Linked DNA regions of Mus musculus. The protein of the gene in region 5 interacts with the protein of the main gene of each other region in a pairwise test. Links are inferred from orthologs where the notes say so. Each region holds a gene or a part of one and is shown on either strand. Other genes may lie near its edges.

Region 1 (3,500 bases), on a different chromosome or scaffold from region 5:
TTTAAAAGTTTAAAAGGGTTTTTGCTAGTGAACACTTAGTTTATTTGCAATTTTAAAAAATAGTTGAAGGGCTGAAGAGATGGCTTAGCAGAGAAAAGCACTGGTTGCTCTTCCAGAGGAGCCCAGTTCGGTTCCCAGTACCCACAAGGAGGTAGATAACCATCTGTAACTCTAGGGGATCTGGCACCCTCCTCTGGAGACAGCAGGTACTGCATGCATGTGCTAAAGAGACGTGCAGGCTAAACCCTCTACATTTAAAATACATTAACATTTAAAAGATTAGTTGGTGTTTATATATAGTTGTTACATAACATAAAATCTTTTCAATCCAGTAAGAAATCTGCACAGTTAGGATTTTGGTCGGGGAGAAGAAAGCTTTTATTAGATCTTTAAGCTTACCAGTTTAGATTATAGTATCTTTTTATTGTCTCTATAGATACTTTTAGTGGAAATGTAGATTTTAATATGTATAATTTGTGAAGCAATTAAAAATACAAATATGTAGATCTTTTCCTTGAATATATCTAGCTAAGAACTAAGCAACAACTAGTAAGTTAAAAACTACAGGGCTTGAGATGTCGCTCAAGAGAAGAGTCCCTCCTAGCATGGGTGAGGTCCCAGGTTTATCCCAGCAAATGACAAAAATAAAATAAACTGGAGCCTAAATTTGAAAGCTTAAAATTAATTCTAATTTTTGAATTAGAAGCTGTCCATTTTTTTATGTGACTTGTTTAGATTTTAAGTAACAAACACTCTTACTGATCTGATATCTAACATTGTATTAACAATAGAATGAGATGCTAGTAGAATGGAAGACAGGTGAAGTGTAACATTAATAAAAAAAGTAAAAATATCCTCTTACTTTAATTTTATATCTTTCCATATGTAGGATCATTACTTGGGATATGCTATTTAGTGGAAAGAACATTAATTAGTTTATATATAGATCATGTGTGTGTGCTTTAATCTTTATTTTAGTTTATGAATATAAGCTAAAATATTTTTATAAATTTTAACTGTTTGTATTTTTATTATCTTATAGGAAAGAAGCAGCGGACTTTCATGTAGACCATCACTCAAGACCTTTTTATAAGTAGGTACTCAGCTTGGGGACTAAAATTATTTTCTTTATACTTTTAATAGATAAGACTTTTTATATCCACCACTCAATACTTGAACCTTTAATCAGAAACAAATGGGTGACCTATTTGTTTTAAGAAACATCTCTTTTATATCTCATTGAATTAAAAGACCATGCTTGTAATTATATTTTATGTTGGCAATTTTGTTGTGCTTTTAAGGCCTTTATTTTTATATCTAGTATGGACAAAGCAGTAGTCACAAAACTAAATAAGGATATGTGTTTTGTTTCATTGGCAATGACTAATCATATATGTTAGAAACTGAAATCTATTCTAAGAATTTGGATGTAATTAAAGTGAAATGTGCATACTCACTGTCATGGACAAAGGAATGACAAATTCTAATAAAGACAATGAAATATTAGCCAATCTGCTACAGTAGACATTTTATTTGATATCATACATAGAAGAATAACTTTTAAAAAAGAAATATTTATAACAAAATTATTGTATATCATATCTTGTGAACTACCATATATTATAAAATGTTCCTAAACTTTGTTAGCATTATCATATACATTTGTTTGGCAATTATTCTTTGTTTTAGATTCTTTGTATGCTTTTATAATACTAAATTACAGCTCTTAGTTTAATATTGTCTATATAATTCATATGCAGAAAGTTTCAATGAATAAATTAGCTGGTTCTGTGGCACTGAGACTTAACAAATGACTAGCTAGAGAAACTGGAAGTCAGTCATGATCAGTATCTTCTCAGTAGCCCACCATTCCCTTAGTTGTCACATGCCACATTAGAGAATTCTGTGTTAATTGGATACTAGATTAGATTGTTTGAGGTTGGATCTTATTTTATGGCTTAGATTTTGACATGTGGATAATATTGATAATTAAATTCCTTCCTTCCTCCTTTCCTTCCTTCCTTCCTTCCTTCCTCCCTTCCTCCCTTCCTCCCTTCCTTCTTTCCTTCTTTCCTTCGTTCTCTTTTCTTCTTTTTGTTTGGTTTTGGTTTTGGCTGCTAAAGCCTAGCAGAAGTTTGAGGAGGTCTTGTCCTCTTAGCACTGTGGCTGTAGATACTTCCTTTTACATGCTATTTCTTGGAAATGCTCTACTACGTGAACTGCAGAGATTAGTGAAGGGCTCAGAAGCTTGTATTCCATGCAGCCCTAAGGCAATAGGCATGGGAAGGCCCGTACACTGCCTTCCTTTCTCTGAGAAGGCCCTGTCCTCTCTCTGGTTTGCCTCTCCTTTAGAAGGTAAGAGGCAGGACGTCACTTTATTTCGAGTTAAATTTATCGTTGCATCGCGTGCACATGAAGAAATAGGAAAAGAGAATGAAGCGTCAGCTTTCATTTCCAGGGAACTGGGACTCAGACATAAACTTCAATAAAAGCCGTGCGTCTGGTCCACCCCTTAGATATCATTACCCAGGCAGGTTTCCTCCTAACGAAGGCCTGTTTTTGAAGGCCTGTTGCCATTCTTTTTCTTTATCACACTGACTTAGAGTTGTCACTCTCTGCATTGCAGTAGTTACACACAACAGAATTAACTAAGTCCTTCTTGAGAATGTTACGAAATACCATGCTTGTCACTGCTGTTATAACATTCTCCCTGACTGCTGTGGTAAACTGTTAGGAAACTAAAATGGAATCAGCTTTGTCCTTCTTAGAGTAGTGGGGAATATCAGATCAGCCATGTGCATTTTACGTTGGCATAATCATCCAAATTCAACAAGTGTCTCCTTCCCTTCCAAACAGAAGTGACCTTGTCATATCTTCTGTAATGATTTTGTAGCAAACTCAGTCTCTGTAAGGCACTCCCCTTTTCCCAGAAACGGATCCCAAGCAGGCCAGTCCTCGAGCTTACTGATGTCCTAACATGTCTTCGTAGTCTAGCAGGTGTCTAGATTGTAGTAGAGAAGTAACTCGGGCTTTCCCCTGCTTCCCAGCGAACTGATCCAGTTTATCACAAGTGGGCCTGTTATTGCCATGGAGATCTTAAGAGATGACGCGATCTGTGAGTGGAAAAGGTTGCTTGGACCCGCAAACTCTGGGCTATCACGGACAGATGCCCCCGGAAGCATCCGAGCCCTCTTTGGGACAGATGGCGTGAGAAATGCAGCTCACGGCCCTGATACTTTTGCATCTGCTGCCAGAGTAAGTTGGTTTTGAGAAATATTTTCCTTCTGTTTTATTTGGGAATTTTTTGTGTGTGTCAAAGTAAAACGTTTCTCCTGCTGAGGACTTTGGGAGGTTTTGAACAGCTAATGTAGTAGTGGGAAACACCTGGTGACGGTTTTCTAGGATCAAATAGGGATTCAAAGCCATGCCCCCTTTTAAAATTAGTCCTGTTGGTTGCTGTTGTTGAGTGCAGTTTTCTCAAAATCTGACATTTGTTGCCA
Region 2 (4,087 bases), on a different chromosome or scaffold from region 5:
TTGTTAGCAGCCTCAATCATTGTGGTGGCAGCTTAAATCTTGACGACACAACCTGTAGTTTGAACACTGATCCTATTTTATTTTGTTAAGTATTTATTTAATGTATATGAGTACACTATTGCTGTTTTCAAATACACCAGAATAGGGTACCAGTTCCCATTATAGATGATTGTGAGCCACCATGGGGTTGCTGGGAATTTAACTCAATACCTCTGGAAGAGTAGTCAGTGCTCTTAACCACTGAGCCATCTCTCCACCTCACACCCCTTATTTTTACAAAAAAAAAAAAAAAATCTGTTATACGTGTGGGTGACCACGAGTGATGTTATATGTATGATGTTCAGGAGACAACTTGCAGGAGGATATCTCCTTCCATTTTGTGGTCTAGGAATACAATTCCCGTTAAGCTTCGTATTCGAGCCATCTCTCTCTCTCTCTTTTGTTACTCCATGACAGTTTTTCCTGTATTGAATCCCCTCAGAATTTATGCATCAAGTTATGTGGCATTTTGTTTTTCATACGGCACTAAATTTACTAGAATACTAGTCAACTTAGGGCAAGCATGGTAATGACATGGCTGTAATTTTTGCACTTGGGAGGTGGAGGTTGGAGGACCTATTCAAGGTCATTCCCCCACTACCTAGTTAGTTCATGGTCAGCCTAGGACACAAGAGACCCTGTCTCACAAAACTTAAAAAAAAAAAAAAAAAAAAAAAAAAAAAAAGTCTACTTAAGCCAACAACAGTGACTCTTGATTCTCCTATGGATGCAGAGAGTCAACACATGCGCATGGACACCAAAGCCCAGCGCCTGCGCACTGGGCAGTTTTTGCCTTTTGGTTCCCCCCCCCCCCCCCTTTTTGGAGTGTGCGCACCAAGAAAGACAAAGGTGGTGAAAGTGACCAAGCAGTCATTCGGGCGCATGCCCATCCCTAAATTGCCCAGGCTCCATGGGGCTCACTTTGTGGAGGCGGAAGTCCAATCCGATGCAGCGAGCGCGGCCCCCCTCTCCCTTTGATTGGTTTGCTTCCAGTGTTGTGGGGCGGGGAAAGGAAGGGACAGGGACAGTGGAAGGTTGGAGTGGTACAGAGAGCGTTCGCCTCGTTCTGCGCAAGCGCAGAGAGGCGACCAGGAGGGGGCGTGAGAGAGTGCAAGAGAATGTGGAAGCCCTGACGCGCTGGCGAGCGGGAGCTGGGTCGCTAGCCTAGACGCCTGCGCCTTGGCCCTCCGGCTCCGCGCGCGGCGGGCGGGTGCCCTGTGCGCCTGCGCAGTAGGCGGCGGCAGCAGGGGGAGGTGGAGGCCGTGGAGCGGCAGCGGCGGGTCCCGGGACCGAGGCAGCAGCGGGGGCGCCGGCGGGCGGAAGCTGAGGTGACGAAGGCGGCGGCGGCGGCGGCGGCCGTTTCCCTCACGGTGGCGGAGACCAAGGCAGCGGCGGCGGCGGCGGACGGGGAGCGGCCCGGCCCCGGCCCCCTGCTCGTCGGCTGTAGCAGGGCCGCCGTGGGGCCGGCCCGGCTCCCGCCCCCCGCGGCTCCCCCTCCGGCTCCTCCTCCAGGGAGACGCCGGGGACCCGGCCCGGCCCGCACTCAGGGCTCTGTTTCAGCTGCTGCCGGGCCAGTCGGAGGTGGTGGCGGCGCCATGGGCGGCCTGGCCTCTGGGGGGGATGTGGAGCCGGGACTGCCCGTCGAGGTGCGGGGCTCCAACGGGGCCTTCTACAAGGTGAGACGGCGCGTCGACCCGGGCCACCCTCCTTAGCCCCCTCCCCCAGCCGAGGCAGGGAAGAGTGGAGCGGGATCGAGTTTCTGGAGCTTGGTCTTGACCCTTAGAACCTTCGACCCACGTTCCCACTCGAAACCCTCCCGTGGCGATCGTGGGAGTTAACCCTCGTGCTTTTATTTTGAGCTCGCTGTTACACCTGCTTTTATCAGCTGAAAACATGGCCATCAGGTCATTCCTGTGCGGGGATGGGAGCCCCGGGTCCCTTTGGAGAAAGCCCTTTTCCTAGCTTCTAATCGACTTTTCTTGTTTTTTTTTTTTTTTTTTTTTTTTTTTTTTTTTTTTTTTTTTAGTGTAGGCGATACTTCAGCTTTTAATCACATCACCCCTGCAGCCCAAGCACATGGAGGATTCGCATTCTTTTCCTACATGACCCCCTTGGGAAGGTCCACTGTCCCACATTAGGTCTTCAGGGAGCCTTCTGCCTACTGGCTCTAGACCATTTGCTCAACTTTTGGTCTTAAATTCCTGTTCCCAGGCTGACAAGAAATGGTCAAAACCCATCTGTGTTATTTAGCATTAGCATCTTTGGCCTCAGGTTTTTATCAGCCAGCCATAAAGTGGATTTGTTGGACAAGTTTGTCACCCACCACACCTATATTCCAAAATCACCTATGAGGGATGGATTCACGCTTATCTCTTTGACTCTAGATATATTTAGGTCATTCCTCTATCTTCTTGGTAAGTTTAAGCTTCACTGTCTCTCAAAGGCCATCTCAACAAGTTCTTATTCTAACAGATTTCTGCTTGTTGACAATCCTTCTGGAAAGAAAAAAAGTATCTTTCAGAATTGCTTCTTTAATCAGCTTTTTCTTTGCCTAAGATTTGATTCCTGTGAACTTTTTTAAGGGGTGTGGTTGGGACAAGATCCCCTCCCTGGCTGCACTTGAACTCTTCCTCAGCCTAGGATTACAGCTCTGGCGTTACTGGTTGAGCCACCATGCCAGACCAGACTTTTGTTTTTTCCTTCTTTCTATCCACCACCCACCCCATCTTCTGTATCTGTCCTGAGTCTATTCTGGATCCCACGCCCCAGATATTTTCTTCTTCTGATCAGTGGGGTTCTGAACATCTTTTGACTTTTATGAGTGGAATTGTCCCGGACACGTTTGGTCCCTCTCTTACTCTTCATCCTGGAGAGAAAGAGGAATTTCCATAGCATGAGATGGGTGAGAAGAGCCCCTTTTTCTTCAGGTTTCCTCAGGTTGTCTGTCCCCCTACCCTAGTAGAACTTCTACTTTCTTATGCCCTTGGAAATAACTTTCTCTGACTCTACTATGAAATTGTATCTTTTTTGTAGCTGAAAAAAGACTTAGGTTTGCCCTACCCCTGTAGATGGTTCCTACCCTCACTTCAACTGATATGCTAGTTATCCATTATAAAGGCCAGGCCATTTTTTTCCCTTTTCTGATCAAGTTCTTTACCCAGTGCCTATGGGTGCACATACCTATTAGCTTTAATGCAGCTTCTCAACTAAGTCTCGGTCTTTTTAGCTTGGTATTTCTGTATTCCTGTGTATCCTTGATGATGTCTACCTGTCTAGTCTGTGTATAGCTGAAGAAGGCTCCTAGCTGATTCTGTCACTTTCCTAACTCTTGGTACTTTTTCTTCAGACCAGAACAGTGTCTCTAACATTTCTGTTTTCTGTAGCAAAAGTCTTTAATTCTTTTGGCTTCTGAGAGGACACATTAATGTTTTAATATCTATTTCACCCACATTTGTATTACCTTTGTTAAAACAGTCTCCTCAGGCTGGGTATGGTGGTACATACTCTAACCCTAGTACTTAGAAGGCTAAAGTAGGATTGTTGAAGTTCAAAACCAGCATGGGGAATGGAATCCAGTCTAAAACAACCCAAACAAACCCAAAAAGTACTCTTTATTATGCTCTCTTTTCCTCGATATGTTAGTCTTCATCTGTATCCTTCTAACATCAAAATGTTAAAAATTCCAAAAAAGCTGTGTGTAGGTGTGTGTGTGTATATACATACATACACACACACACACCTACACACACACCCACCCCCGTTCGATTTCTGGGTACAGGATTTCTCTATGTAGCCGTGGCTGCCCTGAACTCAAACTCTGTGGGATAGGTCTGCCTTTGTTGAGTGCTGGGATTAAAAGCATCCACAACTACTCTTAGTTTGAAAAGTGGTTCTTAAATTGAGTATGAGATCAAGATAAGATATTTGCATTTGGTTTAAGGAAGCTCAGGAGCCATGCACAGCTGGGACAGATGAGTGCTCAGTTCCAATTAACTGTATGACATGGTTGGGCTGGGACATGAATTCTGTTACACATATGGGTATCCAA
Region 3 (3,957 bases), on a different chromosome or scaffold from region 5:
ACGGTGTTCAGATAGTGCATGGCTTCTCCCAAGCTCTCTTGGCTTCTCAACAAGTATGGAAAAGGAGGGCTGTTACAGACCTACTGTACAGATGAGGACATTGAGGCCACCCAGGGCACAGAGCACGTCAGTCAGCAGAGGCTGGATGTCTGGCTTTTAAACTCCAGAGCTTTGTCAGTACCATCAAGCCACTGTCCCCCAAAGGAGGTACACAGAGCCAGCAGTGGGGGAGGAAAGGGAAGTCTGGGATGGGGTGAGGAGCCCAGACTTGGCCTGCTTTGTGGATTCCTCTCAGCTGGCCCTGCCTTCCTGTCCTGAGTGGAGGTTAAAGAAGCTCAGAGGAAGAAAGGTCAGGCTGGGAGAGAAGCAGGAGCTGGCCAAAACAACCCACACCCTGTTCCTCATGACCAGGCCCTGGACGCTGGGTAGGAGGGCACCACCCCTGCCCTCTAAAGATGGAGTCTGTTTCAGAAGCCTGGGAAAAGCATTGGGCACAGGATCGGATGCAGGCTACAGTGCTGACTTCAATCTCCCTTTCATTCATCCCCCCCCCCCTTAGCTTCTTCTCATCCCCAGCCTTGTCCCACCTTGACCACCTGTCCCATCCCTCCTCTGAGGCTTGTCAATCACGTTCCCCATCCCCCACCCCACCCCCAAACCAATCCTTTAGCCTCGGACTCTTAAAATGCCCTGTGTCCATCGACCTAGACAGATCAGAATTTCTAACGCAACGTTATGTGCCTGAGCCATACCACATTCAGAGCATTTTAACGAAGTCAGAAAGTTATTTGGGGCCTATTCGTCGTGAGCACTTCTGTGGTTCGTTTATGATAAAAGCTGGACAGTGGGAGCGAACGGCGGAGTCTGGGCTTCCGTAATGTCATCGGACGAGTGACGCCATCGACCCTGGTCACAGTGGTGTTCATCACCCTACAGGCAGGATGACATCACCGTCGGAACCCGCGCGGACAAGTGCGTGCTGGGTGAATTAGCTAATCGCTAGGGAGAGTGTGAAGTGAGGCTGAAACCCAGGAGAGGAGGGGGCAGAGGGAGGATCCCGGCGCCCCGCCCTCCCGATAACCGCTGCGAGCTGGCCAATCCGGGCAGGCCGCAGTGACGCGCAGCCTATCAGCGACCAGGTCTCTCCCGGAGGTTCCGTGTTAGTCTTGGCCCTCAAGTCAGGGGAGGGGGCGAGGGCGCCGCGGCCCACCGCAGCTCAGGTCCCGGCCGCTTGCCTCCGGGGGTCTGGCAGGTCCCGGCTTGCCACCTCCCCGGAGACTTGATGGCCACGGAGGGCCTGGCAGGGGCGCTTGCCACCGTGCTGGGGGGAAAGGGGTTGCTGGTGCAGAGCTGTGACTCGGAGCCGGCTGGGAAGCCGCTGTTTCCCGTGCGGCTGCGGAAGAATGTCTGCTACGTGGTGCTGGCCGTGTTCCTCAACGAGCAGGTGAGCGTCCGACCGGCCGCTGGCCTTCGGCTGGTCTCGGGAGCGTGCCGCCTGCCCTGATCTGAACAGGCGAGCCAACGGCCGCTGCCTGTATGTGGCGCTTCCCAATGTTGCAAAGCACTCTCAACACTAGCAGCTGAGCTGAGATCGTCCTTCTGTAGACTCTATAATATGGAAGGAGAAGCCGAGGTCCCGGGGCGGTTTATCTCATCCACTAGACCTCGCCCCCCACCAGGAGAGGCCTGTAATATGCCCCCTTCCTTTCCAGGAGTCTAGACTCTCCCGGCGCCTCGGGAGAGTAATGGGGAGCTTACATGCAGGCCTCCGATCCTGTGAGAGTTCTTTTTAGTGATCACTTCTGCACAAGTCAGCGTTATAAAATCCTGGCCAAGAAGGGGTAGGTTGGTATAGGGGTGGAGCTAAGTTTCAAAGCCTCAGACCCTAGATTGAGGACTTGACACAGGCGGTTTGTAAGTCCCATGGGAACAAGAGCAAGACAGTGGCATAAATGAGTCAGTATAGGAGTGGTGGCAACCTTCAGGAGGAAGCCTCCTAGAGCAACGCCCAAGGTCCTCAGCCCCTTTCTACAACAGAAGTCCCTCTGGGTTTGAGTTACAGCAAAGCGGAGACAGCCACTGCTTTCAGCCATATCAGGGCCTGACTCCTGAGGATCCAGCATCCTAAAGGTGTCTGTCTACCAAGAAGGGAGCTTTGGGCTGCCATCCAGGTAGGGGCTACTCTTCTGAAGCCCCCAGACTGGCTGGGTAGGAGTGAAGATTGTCTCACTTCCCTCCCTCCCAGGATGAGGTGTTGATGATACAGGAGGCCAAGAGGGAATGCCGGGGGACATGGTACCTCCCTGCAGGAAGAATGGAACCAGGAGAAACCATCGTGGAGGCCATGCAGCGGGAGGTGAAGGAGGAGGCAGGGCTGCTCTGTGAGCCAGTGACACTGCTGTCCGTGGAGGAGAGGGGCGCCTCCTGGATCCGCTTTGTGTTCCTCGCTCGACCAACAGGTATCCCCCACCTAGTGACATTTCTCACGGTCCCTCATCCATAGCCAGCCATACTGTGGGCTTCTGCTTATGGCCATTGACCTACTACGGGCTAAGAGCTTTTGGGGGTCTCTCTCTCTCTGGAGTGTTGGGGTGGCCATTTACTCTCTCAGGCTCAACCCTTCTCATACTGGCCCTCTTCCCACCCCACCCCCCAAATCTCTCCTAGGCGGAGTTCTCAAGACTTCCAAAGATGCTGATTCTGAGTCCCTCCAGGCCGGCTGGTACCCACGGGTCTCCCTGCCCACACCGCTTAGAGCCCATGATGTTCTGCACCTGGTAGAGCTAGGCGCCAAATTCTGCCAACAAGCCATGCACCCTCTCATTCTGCCTCAAGAGCTCCCCTGCAGTGTGGTCTGCCAACGGCTGGTGACCACCTTCACAACAGTCCAGTCGGTGTGGGTGTTGGTGGGCACGGTGGGGACACCTCACTTGCCCATCACTGCCTGTGGCTTTACCCCTATGGAACAAAGGGGCGGCATCAAGGTGGCCATCTTGAGGCTCCTACAGGAGTGTCTGACTCTGCACAGTTTGGCAGTGGAGACCAAGGGGTTGCTTGGGTTGCAACACCTAGGCAGAGACCATGTGGATGGTGTCTGCCTGAATGTGCTGGTGACCGTGGCTTTTCGGAACCCAGGAATCCAAGACGAGCCCCCAAAGATTCGGGGTGAAAACTACTTTTGGTGGAAGGTATTAGAGGAAGATTTACAAAAACTGCTTCTGTACAGACTCCAGGAATCTTCTGTGATCCCCCTGAGCAGATAGAGAGATTCCAGCAGGGACCAAAAGCTGAGCTGCCCCCTCCCTCTGAGGCAGAGAAAAGGCTGGCAGTCAGGGATCTCATTGCACATTTTGAGGGGGCAGGGACCACACATTGAGCCCAAAGGGAGGGTGTCTTGAATCCACTTTTCAAGGGCTCAGTTCTGAGGGCACACAGTACTTGTCTTTTAAGTTGGTGAGGAACTTTTTGAACCCTAAATGGCACCATCTTTGTCCACTTTGGAAAAGGCTGCATGTCAATCCTTCCAACCCCATAGGAATGTAGAGAGGGATGGGACATGGGGGACGCATCCCTCAGGGCAGAGTCCTCATTGCTGAGTAAAAAGGTATTGCTTAACCTGCCTGCTTGCCTAAATGTCTGTGTGGGGAGGATATGGGGCACTGTCCCACCCACAGTCACCCAGGTCTTTCCTCACCGTGTACACACTGATGCTATGCAGGGATGTAAGGATCCTGAGGCAGACATCGATGCTCGCTGAAGCCTCGACCCACCCAGGCTCTTTTTAGTGTTCCTGTCCTGTCAGGGCGGGCGTGGGACTTTGAAGTGACCACACCCCTAATAAAAGCACAGCTCAGACCTGTCCAGGTGTTGAACGGTTCGGTCTGGTGAAACTGCCTAGGGAACAAGAAAGAGCTGAGGATGACACGTTGGCCTCTGCCAGTCTTTTTCTCTTTGAGC
Region 4 (4,066 bases), on a different chromosome or scaffold from region 5:
GGAGGGAAAAGGGTAGTCTCTGAGCCATGATGTGACTGAACAGTTAAGAAGACTGTCCCAGGCAGGGAGCATAGCAAGTGCTAAGGCCCCGTAGCAGGAGTTTTCCAAGCATTTGTGTGAGCCAAGTAAGGCACCACATATAGAGAGACTTTTGTGATGGAAAGGCTAACAGGAGTCGAGTATGGAAATATATCTCCTAAATTTCACCTAATTTACTTTCATTCTTTCAAACGTGTAGCAGAAGTTACGGAATGTGATCGCTAATCAAGTCATTTGATACTACCCAGCCGGCACACATCAAGATGTTTATAGGAGAATAAAAGCAGGTTGACACATCCACCTCATTTTTTTTTCTTTCAGTTCATGTTTGAAGACTCCTCCCAAGAACTAAGAGTACGTCTCATAATTGGTTTACTCATAATCACCCGGCGAGGTAGTTACGACTTCCACGCATTTTTGTCATGGTTTAATGCTGCTTTCCAAGGTGTTTCAGGCAGTCCACGGCATTTTACAGCTGGCAGAACATTTTGGAGAAGCGTAAGTCATTTGGCCCTTTCTGGATGCCTTGGAAAAAGCTCTTGTGGACTTCAGTTGGGGTGTCTATGGCTGTGATAAAACAGCATGACCAGAAGCAACTGGAGGAGGCAAGGGCTTATGTGGTTTATGCACAGTCCGCCGCAAAGGGAAGTAAGAACAGGAACTCAAGGCAGTTACCTGGAATCAGGAACTGAAGCAGACGCCATGGAGGAATGCTGCTCGCTGGCTTGCTTCTCATGGGATTTTAACCTTCCACCTAGGGCCCTGCTGGCTTCCTTCTCACAGGCAACAGCTTCTGGGACAGGAGATAAAGAGTAAGCTCCTCCAGCCGGAGCAGCGATGCTTGTAGATCCACGCGAGGCGCTTTCTTATACCCACCAGCACTACCTGCCCAACGCTGGCACAACCCACAGTCATTAATCAAGAAAATGCTGGACAGACTTATTAATAGGGTATTTTATGAGGGGTTTTTTTTTTAAGTCAAAATTCCCTCCTAAATATATCAAGGTTGTGTCAAGTTGACAAAGACCAACCAGGACAGCAGCATCTTTTCTACTCTGACATCTTTCTACCTACATTGGGCAGCGGACCAAAGTTGAGAGACTTAGACTGCTCATTGTCTCAGGCTCTTGTGGAGATTAGAGGATCCTAAGGGCAACAGGACTCCTCTTGCCCCCGCGTAGCTGCCTTTCCAGAGAAGGCCACCAGGGGACTCCGCTCTGAGCCGGTGAGTTGCAGTGGCGCCCGGGCGAGCTGCGCGGCGCGCTGGGTGCATGTGGGGGCCGCACCAGAGCCGTGGTCGCTGCATCTGGAGTCACGCGTGCTGGTCAGAAACCCCTCGCGTGAATCTGCAAGCATCGCTGCTCTGGCTGGAGGAGCTCACTCTTTTTCTCCGGCTCCAGAAACTGCTGCCGGCGTGAAGGAAACCAGCAGGGCCCTAGGCAGAAGGTTAAAACCCCACGGTAAGAGATCCTTCCAAGAGTGGTGTGGAGGCGCAGTCGCAGCTTCCCGCTTCGGATTGTGTCCTGGAGGGCCGAGGTGCGGGGCACACCTAGGGAGGATCAGTCGTGCGGACCCCAGTCCTCACCCCTCCTCCGCGAGCTTCCGGGGTTGGAGTCTGGTTTAGGCAGTACGGGCTTCTTGGCTTTCCTCTGCCTCCGGGTACGCACTTCCCGGGCTGGAATGTGAGTCCAGTTCCCACCCAGGGGGTCTGTGGCTTTGATCTGAAATACACCCCCTCCCTCCCCCTAAAGGGTGCAGATCTCACCCGGGACCCATTCTGAATCTCAGATGCGGGTGGGGTGCGCGTCGGCCTGAAGCGGCGGGAAGAGAAACTTTTACAAAGTGCATCTAAACAGGGCAACGCTCCTGGATCCCAGAGCAGGCTCGGCGTGGGGCTGTGTAGGGAGGGCTACAGCGCAGTCTCGATTTGTCCTCCCTGGCTACCTATGCCTCATCAAGGGAGGTATTAAGAATAAGTAAATTTTGCTCAACTTTTGGACCAACAACTGTCAAACATCTGGGATCGTTGCTCCTCCCTTTTCTGCACCGGAGAAGGTGAAAACTAAACTTTCCCTTCATTTCTCCTCCCCACCACTGGACCCCCAGGATGGGGTTGTTAATGGTAAAGAGCGGTTCCCGCCTCCTGGAGCGTGGCAGAGGCTCTAGACCACTCAGATTTCTTCCAGCCCCCTTTCAGACCCTCTGCAAGTCTTCCCCGCAGAGACGGGGCGACAGAGCCATTCTCCTGTAACCCAGTGAATGGCCTTTTGTTTCTCTGCGGTTCCACTATTGTTGCGCCTCTTAACATCTGGTGGGGCTCCAGCGGGGAAGGAAGTCCCTTTCGCCGCTCGCGGGGCCTTTCACGCTGGCCTTTGCGCAGGCTCGAGTCCGGGATCCCCGCTGGGGAAGGACAGAGTTCGGGACCTGGCTAGGCCGCCCCACCCGGGGCTTGTGGTTAGAGGGCGGAGGGAAAGTTGTTCCTGAGCCCGCCTCCTAGGCTGCTTGTGGCCCAGGGCGCATTTCTCAGATCTTATCCCCAGCGAATCTGAAACGAGAGATTGGAGGCAAAGTTCTCGAAAGCTAGGAGATCTGCGAGAGGGTCCAAAGGACTTTCAGAGGCGAGCTAAACGCATATGGAGGGCCCACAACCCGGGCGATGGCCGGAGACAGGGCACCTCATCTCTACGGAAAGTTCAGGGGTGGCAAAATTTTAAGGGCAGGCAGGCCATTGACCACAAAAGAGTGGAGACTAAAGCTAACCTGGGAAGGCTAAAGACTTTGCCTGGAAATGGTGGTGTCGTGATTCGCTGTGAAATGTTCGTGGGCTTCTGACTTCACCTAAGGCTCCAAGTTTAAGACCCAAATTTTTCGCCGCGATGCAGAAAAAGCAAGCCATGACTACGCAGTCCAAATGGCAGATGCGGCCAGAGCACTGTTTTGGTTTTCATCTGCCCGAGAACAGGTGGCTTGGGGTAGCCCCTATTTCTCCAGAGGGGGGCGCCTGTTGGACTATAGCAGGTCGGGTTTCCTGGAATAAGTTAGGTGCTTGCTTCTAGAGCAGTTAGCCTGTGTGGGTTACTTATTAAACAATCTTGGCAAGAGTAAAGTCACCTTCCAAAGTCCGCAGCGACCGGAACTGTCACCTGAGGGTCGACTAGAGGAGGTTTGATGGTATACACCTGTTGGGACCTGTGCCTCTTGCCAGGTTTGTAAATGTTGCCTTTGCCAATTTTTCCTGTGGAATTGCCAACCTTGGACTGTCTAGGAGATGCGGAAACATCCTTCCCCCACCCACCCACCCCCAGTTCTGAGTTTTGGCACCCTTCCTCTCCCACTCAGGGGAGTAAGAGAGGCTTATATGAGACCTGTGACCTCTGCACCTCTCCACCACTCCACCCTTGCTCGGGATGGGGCCCTAGCGTGTTAAACAAGCACTCTTACATCCCAACCCATCTTCAGATAGTTATAAGTTCTGGGCTCTGCACAGGTCTAGTTTGCCCTTAAACCTTAAAGTACTTTGAGAGACTGTTAACTCAAGAGAGGATCTATAGAGAAACTTTCGCCGTGACTTCTAGATCTTGACGGTGGGGTTCTGAAAAGAAAAACGGCAAATTCTCTGGAGTGCTCAAGACACTCTAATGATAAGGGCCCACAAGTTCGGATTTCTTTGAAATTTAACAGTAGCAGCACAGTAACAAACGACCTGCTGAAGAAATACTGCTTGGGTTTTGTTTGCTCAAGGAGTACAAGAAGGCGTCATTAAAGTTAAAGTCAGGGCTTGGGCCAGCCAAGAAGGAAAACACAATCATTATAGAGGAAAATAAGGGTGTTCAATTTCGTTAATATATATATATTCAATCTTATCCAATCATTTCCGTGGAATACATTGTTTCTGGAGACACAGTAGAGTTGATACATTGTTACGATATTGAAGACTGTGATATTGTCCATAGTAAACACATGCCAGTGTATCAACTCCTCAGCAATGTATAAGAGAAGTTACACTCTACTCACTCTAAGTGTTATC
Region 5 (4,236 bases):
ACATGCCATTTTTCCCATGTTGAAAAGCCTAATAGGTGAAAAGCCTAATAGGGGCTTATCCTCAGCTGACCTAGGCAGGGTGAAAGGCACAGGAGGGTAAGTAGAAGCTGTTAGCAGAGCCCTCCTGTTTTCAAAAACACCCTGTGGTTCAGGTTGACTGCAAGTGTAATGAGTCAGTAGTATGTCTGCCAAGAACTTTCTTCTCTTTTTCATTTTCTTCTCCTTCCTCCTCTTTCTTCCTTGTTCCCCCCCCCCCCCTCACCATTGCTTCCTCTCCCTTTTTTCTTTCTTTCATTATGTTGCTCAGGTTAACTTCAAATTCTGGGCTCACGTAATCCTCTTGCCTTAGTCCTAGCATCTCCAGAAGCTAGGACTCCCGGCAAGCTACCATACTTAGTGTTCACTGAGAACTTTACTGCACAAATGCAAGGCGCTGTTACAAAGTGGAAGCCATAGTCCTCCTTGATTATGATGGTACTACAAAACTTGGCTTAGTCTTGGATGATACCATCTAAAGGAAATCAAAATCAAATCAGCCAAATGCCTGAGAGAAAGACAAAGATCCTCAGAATTAGGACAGAGGAAAAACAATGGGAGGGATCAAATATCCCCAACTCGGGAAGATCTTGGGCAAAGTCCAAGGTCGAAGAACCAGTAGATCAGTTGCTTTTCCGAGGCTCCCAGGACTAGAATTTGGTCTTTGCGATGAATTCCAGAGCTGCCCAGACTAAGGAATGCAGTGTTCTGGACATAGTGGGTGGGCTGTCTTGTAGTGAAGTACGGTAACGGGTGTCAGTGTATTCAACTACTATTTATTGTTTGCTAGGATCCAGAACTAAGCCTGGAGTCTGTATTGTTTCATTCTATCAATAATATCTCGGATAAATCAACTGTGTGTAGTCAGGTTCCTTGGTTGGTTCCCTGGGTAAGTAGTGAAACTAGGATTTGAACTCATTCTGATAAACCCCAAAGCTGGTCCCTATGATTATCATGGAGTTGAGTTCAAGGTCTTCCAGGGAGACCCTCTGGTTCGTTTGTCTAGGAGTAAGCTGCTAGGAGTAAGGGACACACTCTTCCCACCTTAGGGAAAGCCTCTCGCAGAGTAGGCGTGGTCACCTAAGGTAGGGGCGGGGCAGCCAGGAGTGTGCTGAGGGGAGCAGGCAAAAAGCCAAGAGGTGGTTATTCCTAGGAAATGGATAGGTTGTTAACGTGCATCACCCTCGGAGTTTAGCAGCTCTGGGAGTTCTGTGGTGGGAAGTTCCCCGAGCCCTGTGAGGGGCCCTGAGACAGGACCGCCCGCCAGGGAGCATCGCCGCGGCCGGCTTCTGCGGCGGAGCCCGGGTAAGGAACAGAGCGCCGGTCCCTGGCCGGGCGCGAGCTGGGGGCGGTGCCGGGGCGGCGGGGGCGGGGAGGGCGCGCGCCGAGGCGGCTGCGGCAGTTGCGCGCTAGGATTGCTGCCGTGCGGTGCGGCCGGTGAGTGCGGCGGCACCCGCGGCGGGCGGGAGGGGGCTTGGAGCGGGCGGGCGGCGAGCGAGCAGGCTGGGGAGGATGCGCGGCCCAGCGCGCGACCCAGCGGCCCCCGCCGTCCGCCCGGCGTCCCTTTCCTCAGGGCTCCCTACCCCGGCCCAGATCTGCCCGCGCGCCCGCGGCCTCAGCGCCCCGGCGTGGCGCACGCCCCCGGCCCGGGCGCCCCCGGCCCGCCGCAGCCCCTTCCCCGCGCGGCGGCGACGCCCCCGGCCCACGTCATGCTCGCGCCATTGTTTCCCAGCGTCCGCTAGCTGGGACCCCGCCTTTCTCGCGGAGTGGGCGGGCAGGCGCCGCTCTCGGTTCCCCTGGTCTCTCTGGGCTGGCAGCCTGGCCTCAGTTCTCGTGAGGCGGGTGCGGGGCTCCCCTCATGGGCTGCGAGCCTGGCAGGGTTTGGATCTGCCCGCGGAATGGCCCACGAGCCAGTTTTGTGGTGCGCAGTACTTCCTGGAAAGCTCACATCAATTGCAAGTCTCGCCTAAAGACGTTTGGAGGCGGTTTGTCCCTCGCCTTTTTTTTTCTGGGGCCCCCGAAGCCCTGCAGGGCGAGATGCAGAAGTGGGGCCTGTTACAAGAACAGCGTTTTGAGCGGTTGGCTTTGCCTGGCCGCAGCCTTTAAAAGCATTAGATGAAGGTTTGTGTCGGATTTGTTTCACAGCCTCGGTAGTCGAGGGCTGTGCTCTAATAGAGCACTCTGAAATGACTAGTCACTCAACACGGTTGCGTGTTCCCCACCACTTCTCTGCGCCCCCCCCCCCCCCGCACATTGTTTCATAATGACCGTAGACCTATAATTTTTCTTAAGGGATGCAAATTCCTTTGGCCGTCATGTGTAGGGGGAGGATGTTAAAACGGTGCCATTTATCGTAGACGTAGTGAGTACAGAAAGACTTCAGGTCTTTCACATAGTCACCTTAGCATTTTCCATCAATGGCTAAGAATGTAAGAGAAGACATCAGGGCTTAGAGGTTCAGTTTAACAAACCAGCTGGTTAAAAATTGCAATAAAATCGTTGCGGGTGCTCGTAGTGGCAAGGTGGTTATGCTGGGCTGTTGATACAAGGATTGATGCTTCCCGGCTTGCTTCCGAAGAGCATTTCCATTACAATATGAACCTGTTTGTAGGCCTCGAACAGGCTCTGTACCCTAGTGGCCTCGAACTTGGGATCTTTCTCTTCCAGGTCCCTAACAGATATTAATAGGCTTGTTCCACCATGCCTGAGCTTGAAAAACTGGTTTAAGCTTCACTCTTACCAAAAAAATGAACAAAAAGCCAAATTCAGTACTATTGGTTGTTGCATTATTCTCAGCCAGCATTAATCTGTAAAATAAGATGCCCTTCAAGGTTCTGTCGTATGAAACAGTACAGTCATCAGAAGCGTTTGGTAAATATGAGTACTCAGAGTGCCTGCTGGCCTTACTAGATGACATACGTCTTCCTGAAGAGAGCCAGGTTATGGGGGACTCAGCTGTATGAGGAAATTGGTGTCTCAAACATGGTATTTAGAAAAAGTTGATGTTTATGTTACTGCGTTTCACTATGCATCCCAGGTTATCCTAAAAATTCTTCAGTTTTCTGAGTACTGTGCACACATTTCTTGGCCTGTGTCTATAAACTGTAGGTTCTCAGTTTGGTGTGGTGGTTCACTGGAGACGCAGGGTCAGGTGACAAGCCTGGTCTAGGTAGCAAGTTCAGGACAGCCAGAACTACTAGAGACTCTGTCTCAAAACAAAACAACAAACAAAACAAAAACAAAAAATAGTTTTTAAAAAGTGTACAGGATCTCTCTACTGGGGACTGAACTAGGGACTAAGCTTAGGCTAGGCAAAGCAGTCTACTATTGAACTACGTTCAGGCCTTTTTTATTTTGAGGAAGAGCCTTTTTAAGCTGCTCATTTTGGGTTCCTCTTCCAAGGGCCTAGCACCCACCCGCGCACCTTGAATTGGCCGTGTAGCTTAGGCGGGGCTCTAATTTGGGATCGTCCTACCTCAGCTCTCCAAAGCGCTGGGATTGTAGGCATGTGCCACCATGCTTGCCTGGGCTTGAGAAAAAGGGGGTGGGCGGGGGTGCTTTACTGCTTCACTCTTTCCAAAAAGCAAAACAAAAACCAACCTGCTGACATCTTACCAAGAGATTTACTTATGTTTTACTTTTTTGTTTTCTAGCTTTTTTGCGATAAGGTCTCAGACATTTTGTGCTCTGGGCTGGTCCCAGAGACCTGCATAGCTTGGATTGCAAAGTGAGCCACTACGGGTGACCTCAAATGTAGGTTTTTACTTAGTGATGATTGCTGAGTACACACTGCTACTGGACTTGATCTTATTTTCATTTTTGGATGCTTTATACCAGGCCTTTATGCAGGATAGCAGGCAGTGCGGGCACACATGCTTTCAGGAAGTGTTTGTTGATGTGATGTTTTTAGCTTTTGTGACAGCATCTACTAACATGAGATGCTGACTATCACAAGGCATATGCTAAGTGACAAGTGAGTAGTGAAAGCTGTACTTCCAGCCAGGAGACAGCTTACGGACAGTTTAAGGGCAGTAGTACCAGACGAAGCTAGTAACAGATGTTCTGGTAAGCTCTTTACAACATAATGTGACTTGGATTCTTTGGAGCTAGAGCAAAATGAATAAAAGGAACCCCTACCACCCCTTTAAAAATAATATGTGGGAGGGGAGGTGTTTTTTTTTTTTTAGGTTCAAACCTGAG

The links.
Region 1: the proteins of Nt5c2 (region 5) and Nme7 interact in binary tests that used the Homo sapiens proteins (3 or more experiments, as listed by UniProt). The two-hybrid records come from large-scale screens. The link is inferred for Mus musculus from reciprocal best matches to the Homo sapiens genes NT5C2 and NME7.
Region 2: the proteins of Nt5c2 (region 5) and Fxr2 interact in binary tests that used the Homo sapiens proteins (3 or more experiments, as listed by UniProt). The two-hybrid records come from large-scale screens. The link is inferred for Mus musculus from reciprocal best matches to the Homo sapiens genes NT5C2 and FXR2.
Region 3: the proteins of Nt5c2 (region 5) and Nudt18 interact in binary tests that used the Homo sapiens proteins (3 or more experiments, as listed by UniProt). The two-hybrid records come from large-scale screens. The link is inferred for Mus musculus from reciprocal best matches to the Homo sapiens genes NT5C2 and NUDT18.
Region 4: the proteins of Nt5c2 (region 5) and Mob3b interact in binary tests that used the Homo sapiens proteins (3 or more experiments, as listed by UniProt). The two-hybrid records come from large-scale screens. The link is inferred for Mus musculus from reciprocal best matches to the Homo sapiens genes NT5C2 and MOB3B.

The regions. Positions count from the first base shown.
Region 1 is NC_000067.6:164,342,172-164,345,671, forward strand, and holds part of Nme7 (nucleoside diphosphate kinase 7), read left to right. Parts: intron 1-1,042; coding exon 1,043-1,093; intron 1,094-3,047; coding exon 3,048-3,255; intron 3,256-3,500. UniProt on the Homo sapiens protein: Possesses an intrinsic kinase activity. Displays 3'-5' exonuclease activity with a preference for single-stranded DNA. Does not seem to have nucleoside diphosphate kinase activity.
Region 2 is NC_000077.6:69,631,684-69,635,770, forward strand, and holds the start of Fxr2 (fragile X mental retardation syndrome-related protein 2), read left to right. Parts: upstream 1-1,287; 5' UTR 1,288-1,634; coding exon 1,635-1,715; intron 1,716-3,716; exon of another isoform or gene 3,717-3,836; intron 3,837-4,087. UniProt on the Homo sapiens protein: mRNA-binding protein that acts as a regulator of mRNAs translation and/or stability, and which is required for adult hippocampal neurogenesis. Specifically binds to AU-rich elements (AREs) in the 3'-UTR of target mRNAs.
Region 3 is NC_000080.6:70,576,667-70,580,623, forward strand, and holds the start of Nudt18 (8-oxo-dGDP phosphatase NUDT18), read left to right. Parts: upstream 1-1,157; 5' UTR 1,158-1,282; coding exon 1,283-1,444; exon of another isoform or gene 1,445-1,841; intron 1,842-2,245; coding exon 2,246-2,459; intron 2,460-2,667; coding exon 2,668-3,263; 3' UTR 3,264-3,957. UniProt on the Homo sapiens protein: Mediates the hydrolysis of oxidized nucleoside diphosphate derivatives. Hydrolyzes 8-oxo-7,8-dihydroguanine (8-oxo-Gua)-containing deoxyribo- and ribonucleoside diphosphates to the monophosphates. Hydrolyzes 8-oxo-dGDP and 8-oxo-GDP with the same efficiencies.
Region 4 is NC_000070.6:35,154,685-35,158,750, reverse strand, and holds the start of Mob3b (MOB kinase activator 3B), read left to right. Parts: upstream 1-1,266; 5' UTR 1,267-1,499; intron 1,500-2,591; exon of another isoform or gene 2,592-3,244; intron 3,245-4,066. UniProt on the Homo sapiens protein: Modulates LATS1 expression in the Hippo signaling pathway which plays a pivotal role in organ size control and tumor suppression by restricting proliferation and promoting apoptosis.
Region 5 is NC_000085.6:46,959,509-46,963,744, reverse strand, and holds the start of Nt5c2 (cytosolic purine 5'-nucleotidase), read left to right. Parts: upstream 1-1,436; 5' UTR 1,437-1,473; intron 1,474-1,802; exon of another isoform or gene 1,803-2,157; intron 2,158-4,236. UniProt on the Homo sapiens protein: Broad specificity cytosolic 5'-nucleotidase that catalyzes the dephosphorylation of 6-hydroxypurine nucleoside 5'-monophosphates.